2 linked regions of the Sus scrofa genome follow. The protein of the gene in region 1 purifies or fractionates together with the protein of each later gene. This does not show direct contact. Links are inferred from orthologs where the notes say so. Each region holds a gene or a part of one and is shown in the gene's direction. Other genes may lie near its edges. The genes, in order: ZNF395 and FBXW11.

Region 1 (4,311 bases):
AAATGATACCAGGTAATTCTTTGTTGTGTGGGGCTGTTCTGTGCATTGCAGGACATTTTTCTAGCAGCATCATTGGCCTATTCCTATTAGATGTTAGGAGCAACACCACTCCCAGTTGTGACAATCAAAAATGTCTCCAGACATTGCCAAATGTCTCCTGGGGGGTAAAATTCCTACAGGAATTTTGGTTCTGTGTAGCTGTTTTTCTTATGTAACAAATGGTGGTGGTGGGAGGGAAATACTATTTAGTGCTTATTTGGTTTGAGCTAGGCACTATACCTATGTTTTTAATTTCATCTTACAGATAAATCTGAGGTTCAGAAAGAGAAAATAACCTGCTGAAGATCATAAACTAGTTCAGTAGTAAAATCAGGAGACAAACCAGGCTTGTTTGACTGCAAAGCCATCAGTCCTTTCCTGCACACACCCCATGCCTCCCTGCAAGAAAGACAGCATACCTCAAGTCGAAGGTGAACAGACCACAAATGCAACAAGTGTGTCCAAAAGTATTTAAAAACTTTTTTTTTGGGGGGGGAGGGATTTATTTCTTATATCCATTAAATTTATTTGAATATGAATCTACATGCTCACACTCACAGGCACTGGGTCTCCTTACCACCGTTGTAGCTCTGGTCTTATCTCTGAAAAACAAAGTGCGATACAGTGGAACAGCTTCAATTCTTGTTACAAATTACACAAAGCCAGAGCCTAACAGTGCCAAAAGCAACTGGTATTGTTTACCTAAGGGCTGAAAGCTAATAGTTAACTTTCTCTCATGTTAATTCAAGAAACAGTAAATAACGTCTCACTTTACAACTACAAACGAGAGGGACCGAGTAAAATGTCATAAAATGGAGAAGAAAGCATTAAAGCAAAGGCAAATGGAAAGGTTGGTTCCATGGCTCTCTCCCTCTCGCCTTTCGCCGCGCCCCGCGGGTCGGTGCTGCGCGGCCCGGGTCTCGACCGCCCCCGCGCAGCGCCAGTCTGCGGCGCCCGGAGCCTTCGGGCGGCCTTTCCCGCCCTGGGGCGAGCTCGGCCTTTCTCGGAGAAGCGTATCCCAGAGCCCGGCCTGGAAAAAACAACAGCAAGAAACTTTGACTCGGTTGGCGGTTCAGTGGAAACAGGCAAACCCCCAAGTTTGTTTCGGGGCTGCAGCCGCCGGGTCCGATTTGGGGGTGGGGTGGGGGCGTCACCACTGGGTCAGGTTCAAGTGCGCATGTGCGCCAGGAGTCGCTCGGGCACTTATTGAGCGCCCACTGTTTACTAGCGGGCGGGGGTGTGTATGCCGGGCGCGCAGTGGGGTGTGCGTTGGGGGCGGGGTGGGGGTGGGGGCTCGGGCGCGCGGGACCGCCGAGGGGCGCGCAGGCCGCGGGCGCGCGCGGCTCCGGGGGCGGGGGCGGGGGGCGCGGGGGAAGGGCGGTGCGGGGGGGGCGGTGGAGGGCGGCGAGGGGGTGTGTCCCCAGCCTCGCCCGGGTGCTCGCTGGCTGGCGCGCGCCTCCGCTCCCTTCCCGGGCGGGAATCCGGGCCGGGTTGTGGCCGCGGCCGCGTACGTGAGCGCAGTGTCCCGGAGAGGGAGGGCAGGCCGACCAGGTGGGCGCGAACGGAGCCTCGGCGGGCGAGCGGCCGTAGCCGAGCCGGGCGGTGGGCCGCGCCGGGTGGGCGGGCGCCGCGGCAGCCGCAGCGGGTTGCCGAGCCGAGCCGTCCGAGCGGTAGCTGCCCGGCCCGCGCCGCCGCTTGTAGCGGGGCGAGGTAAGCTGCACGGGGACCTCGCGGCGCTGCAGCCCAGGGACGAGGGCGGCCCGGGAACTTCCCACGCTCCACACGCCCTCGGGAGCCGGGCCGGCAGCTGGAGGGCACGGGAGGCGGGCGCCGCCGGGGCAGCGGCGGGTCGGGTCGCGGGGGCGCTGCGGCAGCGGCCGCGCCGGCCGGGTGGGGGTGGCCTCCCCCTCTCCCTCCCATGCGCCGCCTTGTTTATTTCGCCGGCTGCCGGCGCTCGCCTAGTGATCCCCTCCCCAACTTTGAGCGCCGGTCCGGAGTCGCCTCTCTGCCGGAGGGTGACCTGCCCCCTCCCTGACCCTTTCCGGCCGGGCCGCTGGCCCAGTCCTTTCGGCGCCCCGCGCGTTCCTGCCCGCTCCTCGGAGCGGCCCGGCGGGCAAGTGCCGGGCGCCGGGACGCGCGGCGCGACACACCCTCCACCTCGGGGGGCTGGCCCCCACCCTCCGGTTCCCGTCTCCCCACCCTCCACACTTCTGCGCGCCTTCACCCTGCCTCTCTTCTCCGGAGGCCCTGGCCTTCCTCGGCGCTGGCACTGCGGGCATGTGGGGTGCCCGGGTGGGGGCCCGAACGGGGAGTTTGTCATGTGCAAACAATTTCAAAGGCAGTATTTTCTTCCTTGCCTGGGAGTTCAGGGCTCAGCGCTTTCACTTTAGGATGGGCTCAGAAATCCAGAGAAGCCCATCTGTCAGGCGGCGAGGGGGGTGCTGCTGCCCCCTTTATTTCAGGCAGCCTTGGCCAGTGCCCAGTGATTTTAGAGCGCTTCCCCCAGGCAGGAGTTCTCCTGATGCCAGGCGGCCAGGTGCAGCGGTTACCTATAGGACACCAGTCAGTTCTTTACACCCTGTTTTCTAGAAAAGTGTATTTGGTGCATTTTCCCTGAAAGCGAGTGATCAACAGGTATTGAAGGCCTTTTTGACACCCTCCTAAGGTGTTGTGTAAACCGAGGTTCCGGGTCTGAAGGAACTTGAAACACCAGGAAACATAGCAATGAAGTTCAGTTCCACAGATCCTTTTGAGGGGCTTCTGTGTTCTCAGCATCATGCCAGGCTCTTTGCGAGATAATAAGAGGCACTCAAGAAATCTAAGGCCTCAGTAAGCCTACTGACCAGGTGAAAGTGATTTGAGAGCTCAAGTTCAAATTAATGTGCTCTGGCTGCCTTGATGAAGATTAGAGTTGCAGAATGGATTTAAGAGTACTAAGTTATGAAACGTTATGCACATGGAGAATAGCTCTGTAGCAAAGGTCAAAGGCAAGGGAGGGAGAAGTAACAGGTGTGAAAGGTTACAGAGGGATTAGGGGAGGAGAAGAGGTTCAGACAGTTATCTCAGGGAGGATGAGAAAGATACATGAGATGATTCCCTCCAGGGTGTATAATCTCAGGGAGGAGACAGAAAGACTTGGGAAGTAGGACCTCAAGATGGGGCACAATTAACTGTCAAACTGCAAGGTGTAGACTAGGTGCTATTGGAATTCAGAAAAGGGCACTATGAGTAGTAATCACCAGGATTGTGTTCCCAGCAGATGAGACCCTTGAGATGGGCCATGAGGTGCAAATGAACATGACTTTCCTGAGAGACAAGGGGATGTTTCCTGCACAGTAGGAGATAAAAATGGAGAGGAACAATGGTTGAGGTTGTGAATATCCTAGACAGCCAGACGGGAATCGCACTGTACCCTGTGTATACTAGGGAGATAGCAAAGGTTTTTGAGCCAGAGAGTAGTGATGTAATGAAAGGTTTTTAAAAGCAGTGTTAGGTGACAAATCAGTTAGTAGGCTGTTTTAGTTGTGGAGTACCCAGGCCTTGCACTGGGATAACTGGAAATGGAAAAATGGGTGGGTTTTAGAAGCATGACTGTTGAAATAATCTGTTGTCAGGGGCAGGATGAAGGAAGGAGATGAATGGAAATTAATTCTTGGTGGAAATTGATTACACGCCAGGGCCTTGGAGCTGCTGTAGTTAGTAACTCGAGAAATCGGAAATGTGTGTTTTGGAGAGAAGTAATTGACACTCAGGCTGCAGAGAAGTTTCTTGCGTTTGCCAAGACATTCAAACAGAGGTGTCCTGCAAGCAGCCACAACACTGAGATTGGTGGGAAACCAGGTGTGTAAGGTGGGAGAGGCTGCTGTTGCGGGGGAGGGAAGGCATCAGTCATAGGGAGTCAGGCAGGATGCTAGTGAGCGGGGCTGAGGGTCTGAGTTGGAAGGTTCTGTTTGGTCTTGCCATTCACATGACATCACTTGGTCCTGAACCTGAAGTTAACAGAGCAACTCAAGGGAGTTGAGCCTCCAAGGAGGATGGGACACTTCTTCTTATCAGGTGGGTGGGATTGGAGATTGGAGGGAAGTAGGATGGAATTGACTAAACACGTAAATTGTTGGGCTTCCAAATAAGCTGAGTTGTGCTTGCCACCCAGACCTTCAATCTTGCCCTGGTGTCCCTTCGCAGGTGTTTGTGGGGGGAGCACCAAGATGAGGGGGCAGCAAGATGATCTAAAAGAGCAAGGAGGAAATTTTGGGTTGGGGGGTGGTGCTT
Region 2 (4,368 bases), on another chromosome or scaffold:
AACTGTATTGAACAGAACTTACACTGTGTCCTGCATGCATACAAATTACTGTAGCAATTCGGTGCTTGGAAATGGAAAGACTTAGAGGTCATCTAGTCCCTTCCCTTTACAGGTGCAGAAAATGCAAAACACTTGAGAAAGAGAACAGTAGCCTTTGACATTTGGCAGCTGGCCTGATACAATCAAACAGGCAGTAATGTTACTAGATGATAGCCTGGTCCTCTTAGCTAGGCCTCGTGTTTTCTTGTTGAACCTAATTTCATAGAACATAAATGTTAGACAAAGCCATTCTATGGCCATGATAGACCAATACAAAAGCGAAACCACTCCTAATTAAATCTGAACACAGATCAAACAGGGACATTGTTCAAACCACAAAAAATGACCAAATAGCCCTTATTCTGGTAATGAGGGACTCCTGCTTCTCTACCAATCAGGACTTCAGCCTCGTCTAGTAGTCCTTCCGTCTAGATAACATTTACTGAGATGCCCAATCATAAAATTACCTCCACTTTCTGACAGCATCTTATCCAGGGTAAAGTCCCACTTTCTTAAACCCTCATCCAAATCACCTGACAACTCCTCCTGAGATGCCCCACAGTTCTTCATGGTGTGTGTTCTCTCTCTCTGCAACCAGCAATAAACCCAACCTGTTAATTCTCAGCGGGCCTTTGTCGTCTTTGGTTTGAGGTTACTGACAGACCTGATAAGGTTTATACCGAGCTGGAGGCAGAATTCACTGGGCATCTCCAGCTGTGTTCCTTCTTATGGTTAATGTCTGTCTTCCCCCTACCAGAATTACGCTGCGTGAGAAGAGAAGCCTTGTCTGTAGGGATCAGAGCTGATTCCCAGGGCCTAGGCTAGTGACGAGCAGAGGCTGGAAGTTTAAAAGATACTTTCTAAACGAATGAATAATAGGTTCTCTTTCACCTCTCAGTTCCTCCCAGTACGTGGTGCACAGAGACCACAAAACTCCTCTTTCTCAACTAAATTTCCAAACCCCTCTTGGGACGCCACTCTTGGGACGCCCATGCTCTCAGAGCCTCCTTCTCTGCCCGAGCTCTCTCGCTCGCTGGCCCCCCTCCGACACTTGAGCCCCAAGACCATCCCTTCCTAGAACCCACCTGTCGCCAACACCTCACCCTGCCACAGAGGCCAGACCAACCGTGCCGTTACTTAGGTGTCGAGCGGGCACTGCAGGCACAGACCGCGCATGTGCGGAAATCGGTCGCGCACGCAGGATCGCTGGCAAGTGAAGAGTTGCCTTGGAGTTTCCGTCCGGGTCCGGGGAGCCTCGGGCTGCCAGGAAGTCAGAAGAAACTAGCCGGAAAGAGAACCCGCGCGCAGGGCTTTCTGGGATATGTAGTAGGCGCGCACCTGAAGCCCCACCTTGAGGAAGCCCGTAATTCTTTAGGTCTGCACGTCTCTCATTCGCAGTCCCGTGCTACTTTCGGCTGAGAATTCAGCTTCGGACGGCTAGGAGAGATTGGTCTGGCGGGGTCTTCTCGTTCCCACAACGCTCTGCGGGACCCGCGGCGCCTGCCGGGAGCTGTAGTCCTCGCTCTGCGTACTGCGTTCGCCGAGGGGGAGGGCGGAGCTGCCGGCGGCCCGGGCGGGCTGGCAGCTAGAGTGGGTGCGATAGCCGCCTCCGCCTCTGCCGCCTCCGCCGTCGCCTCCTCCGCCCGGGCCGTTCGCTGCTGCGCGGGGAGAGCGAGGCGGGGCCGCCAGGGCCGCCATGGAGCCCGACTCGGTGATTGAGGACAAGACCATCGAGCTCATGGTGAGTGCGGCCCGCTGGACCGTCCGTTCTTCCGTCCGTCCGGCCCCGGGCGGGCCTGCCCATCTCAACGTCCGGCGCGAGGCCGGCCCTGGCCCTTCCCCGCTGCCTCGGCCCGAACCTGGGCCCTCCGGCCCGGCGCGCTTTACTCCGGATCCCTCGAGATCTCAGGCCGGACCTGGTCCGGCCCCCTCCATGCCCCTCGGTTTTCCTCCCTCCCTCCCTTCTCTCCTGTCTCTGGGCCCATCCCTGGAACGACCCTCGCTCGCTTGTGCTGTGGCCTTAGCTCACACTCGCTCAAGCATCTCCTTCCTCCCTTAGAAGGGGTTTTCTGTTTTTTCTTTTTCTAATTCTCCGGCCAGGCCTGCATCGCTCTTGCAAGCCCCACTCAGGCCGAGTGAGATGGTGATGGGAGGGGGTACAGAGAAGATCGACCTGGGGTCTCGGCCTCTGCGTCCTAGAAGGGGTCTCTCAGCACCCTCTTCTCAAGCCAGGGCTGTGTGGATGCCGGCATAGGCCCTACAGGGGTGGAGGTGGGGAGCTCTCGGGTTTGAGGCTGTGACCGATAAGGGGCCTCTTTCCTGGGCCCCTGTGGTGTCCGGCTTCTCGGACAAAGGGTTTCCTACCCGGCCGAGAGGGATGTTTGGATAGCGAGGCCCCAGGTACTCTGGATTCCATCTCCCAGGAAAGAGACACTGTAACTTCACGTTTTCCAGAGCCGCTCTGGGAAATTGGGGAGGGGGAAGAGGGCTTGTCCTCATCTGCGCCGCCAGTTCTTTCTTCTAGAAAAGGAGTAGGAGAGAATCCTAGGCCCCTGGGAAATCGATCACTCTTCTGTTAGAAACCTTTGGTACCCAGGCCAGACCCTCTGGCCCCACGAATCCCAACCCCCCCTCCGCCTTGGGACTTGGAGCCTAAGGTTTTTAGAAACAGGGCCACGAGAGAGTGGCTAGTAGAAACGAAGAACTTGCTCTTTGGTGGATGACTTGGTGGAAGAAATAAAATATGATAGCTATTACCTGCCAATTGGAATACTAGGGAAATCAAACTGGGCTCTGGAGAGCTGGGAGGGGAAGCTCTTTGCCTCAGCAAATGGACAGGCCCAGGCTTTCTTCCTGTGGAAATCTTGACAGTTTCTTTGTATCTCTTCTAATACAGTAACAACTTCTACTCTAAGGTTGAGAGGAAAGGTGAAAGAATCTACTTAACACAGCAAAACGTTTTCCTAGCCAGATTTTCTCCAGTGTGAAAATGTTTATTGAGTCAGTGATTCCACTGGGTAGGGTCGGTGACATCAGAGCCACTTCCCCCATTTAATGCTATAAATAATAAATGGTGACATTGAAAGTCTGTTGGATAGCTGCATGGTGTCTGTGGATGATGGTATCTGGGGAGTTGAGGTGCATGTTTTAAAAATGGAAGTACAGTAGCATAAATATGGAGGCAGCTTAATATTTGCTGTCCTTTGCATAATTCACTAGACTTCTTCAGCAGTCTTGAAAACTAGAGGGGAAAAAAAGCTCTGGTAGTTTCTGGGGTGTGTGTGTGCGTGCGCGCACTGGTGTGGTTGCTTTCTAAGGGATACTGTCACCATAAGTTTGATTTTCATTTATTAAGTAATTTATTAAGTAATTTTTCCTTTCAGTAAAGTTTATCAAACTTTTGTAATCAAGCCTTTGATAATCTGCAAATTTTGTAAGGGGTTATTTTAGTAAAATATCTTAACTGGAATTGCATATATAGTATATATGCTTACATGTATGTGTAATACATGTATTTACAACAGGAGTGCTTCATATCGAAAATTGTAACTTGGGGGGAGTTCTCGTCGTGGCGCAGTGGTTAACGAATCCGACTAGGAACCATGAGGTTGCGGGTTCGATCCCTGCCCTTGCTCAGTGGATTAAGGATCCGGCGTTGCCGTGAGCTGTGGTGTAGGTCGCAGACACGGCTCGGATCCAGCATTGCTGTGGCTCTGGCGTAGGCTGGCAGCTACAGCTCCAATTAGACCCCTAGCCTGGGAATCTCCCATATGCCGCGGGAGCGGCCCAAGAAATGGCAAAAAGACAAAAAAAAAAAAAAAAGAAAAAGAAAATTGTAACTTGGTACCTCTTTGAAAGTGTTCAGTGCTCCTTCCATTTACATGCCATTAAAACAATAACTAAAATGTCTTTATTTTGAAGAGAATTAGAAATGAATACAGTGTAATCCATTTAGTGTTTTGAGTGGATGTAGAAAAAAAAAAATCTCTGACCTAAATATACTGGTTTCCTATGCTTATAAATTGAAAAAGTTTTGATTTTACATAATTGTGTCTGTGATCTGAAAAGATATTTCAGCTCTTTCAAGGGCTTTACAAACTGGGATTCTTAAGATAGTTTAACAAAAAAATTTAACAGCTATCTAGATCAATTTTAAAATGCCTTTTCATATATGGATTTTGATACTCCCTCAAAGAGCTACCAGTTAAGACTCTTAGGCAATCCTTTTGATGAACATTTGTGTGTTTATTTTAGTGTAGTAGATAGCACAGGTACTTAACAACCACTTTACTGAATCCCGGATCAGATGTAGGAATGATAATGCTTTAA

What was found.
Region 2: the proteins of ZNF395 (region 1) and FBXW11 purify together in Homo sapiens (affinity purification with mass spectrometry; 5 studies listed by BioGRID and IntAct, with this or other methods). This does not show direct contact. The link is inferred for Sus scrofa from reciprocal best matches to the Homo sapiens genes ZNF395 and FBXW11.

What each region holds. Positions count from the first base shown.
Region 1 is NC_010456.5:12,180,966-12,185,276, reverse strand, and holds the start of ZNF395 (zinc finger protein 395), read left to right. Parts: upstream 1-1,249; 5' UTR 1,250-1,276; intron 1,277-1,546; exon of another isoform or gene 1,547-1,749; intron 1,750-4,311.
Region 2 is NC_010458.4:52,211,071-52,215,438, forward strand, and holds the start of FBXW11 (F-box/WD repeat-containing protein 11), read left to right. Parts: upstream 1-1,330; 5' UTR 1,331-1,735; coding exon 1,736-1,780; intron 1,781-4,368.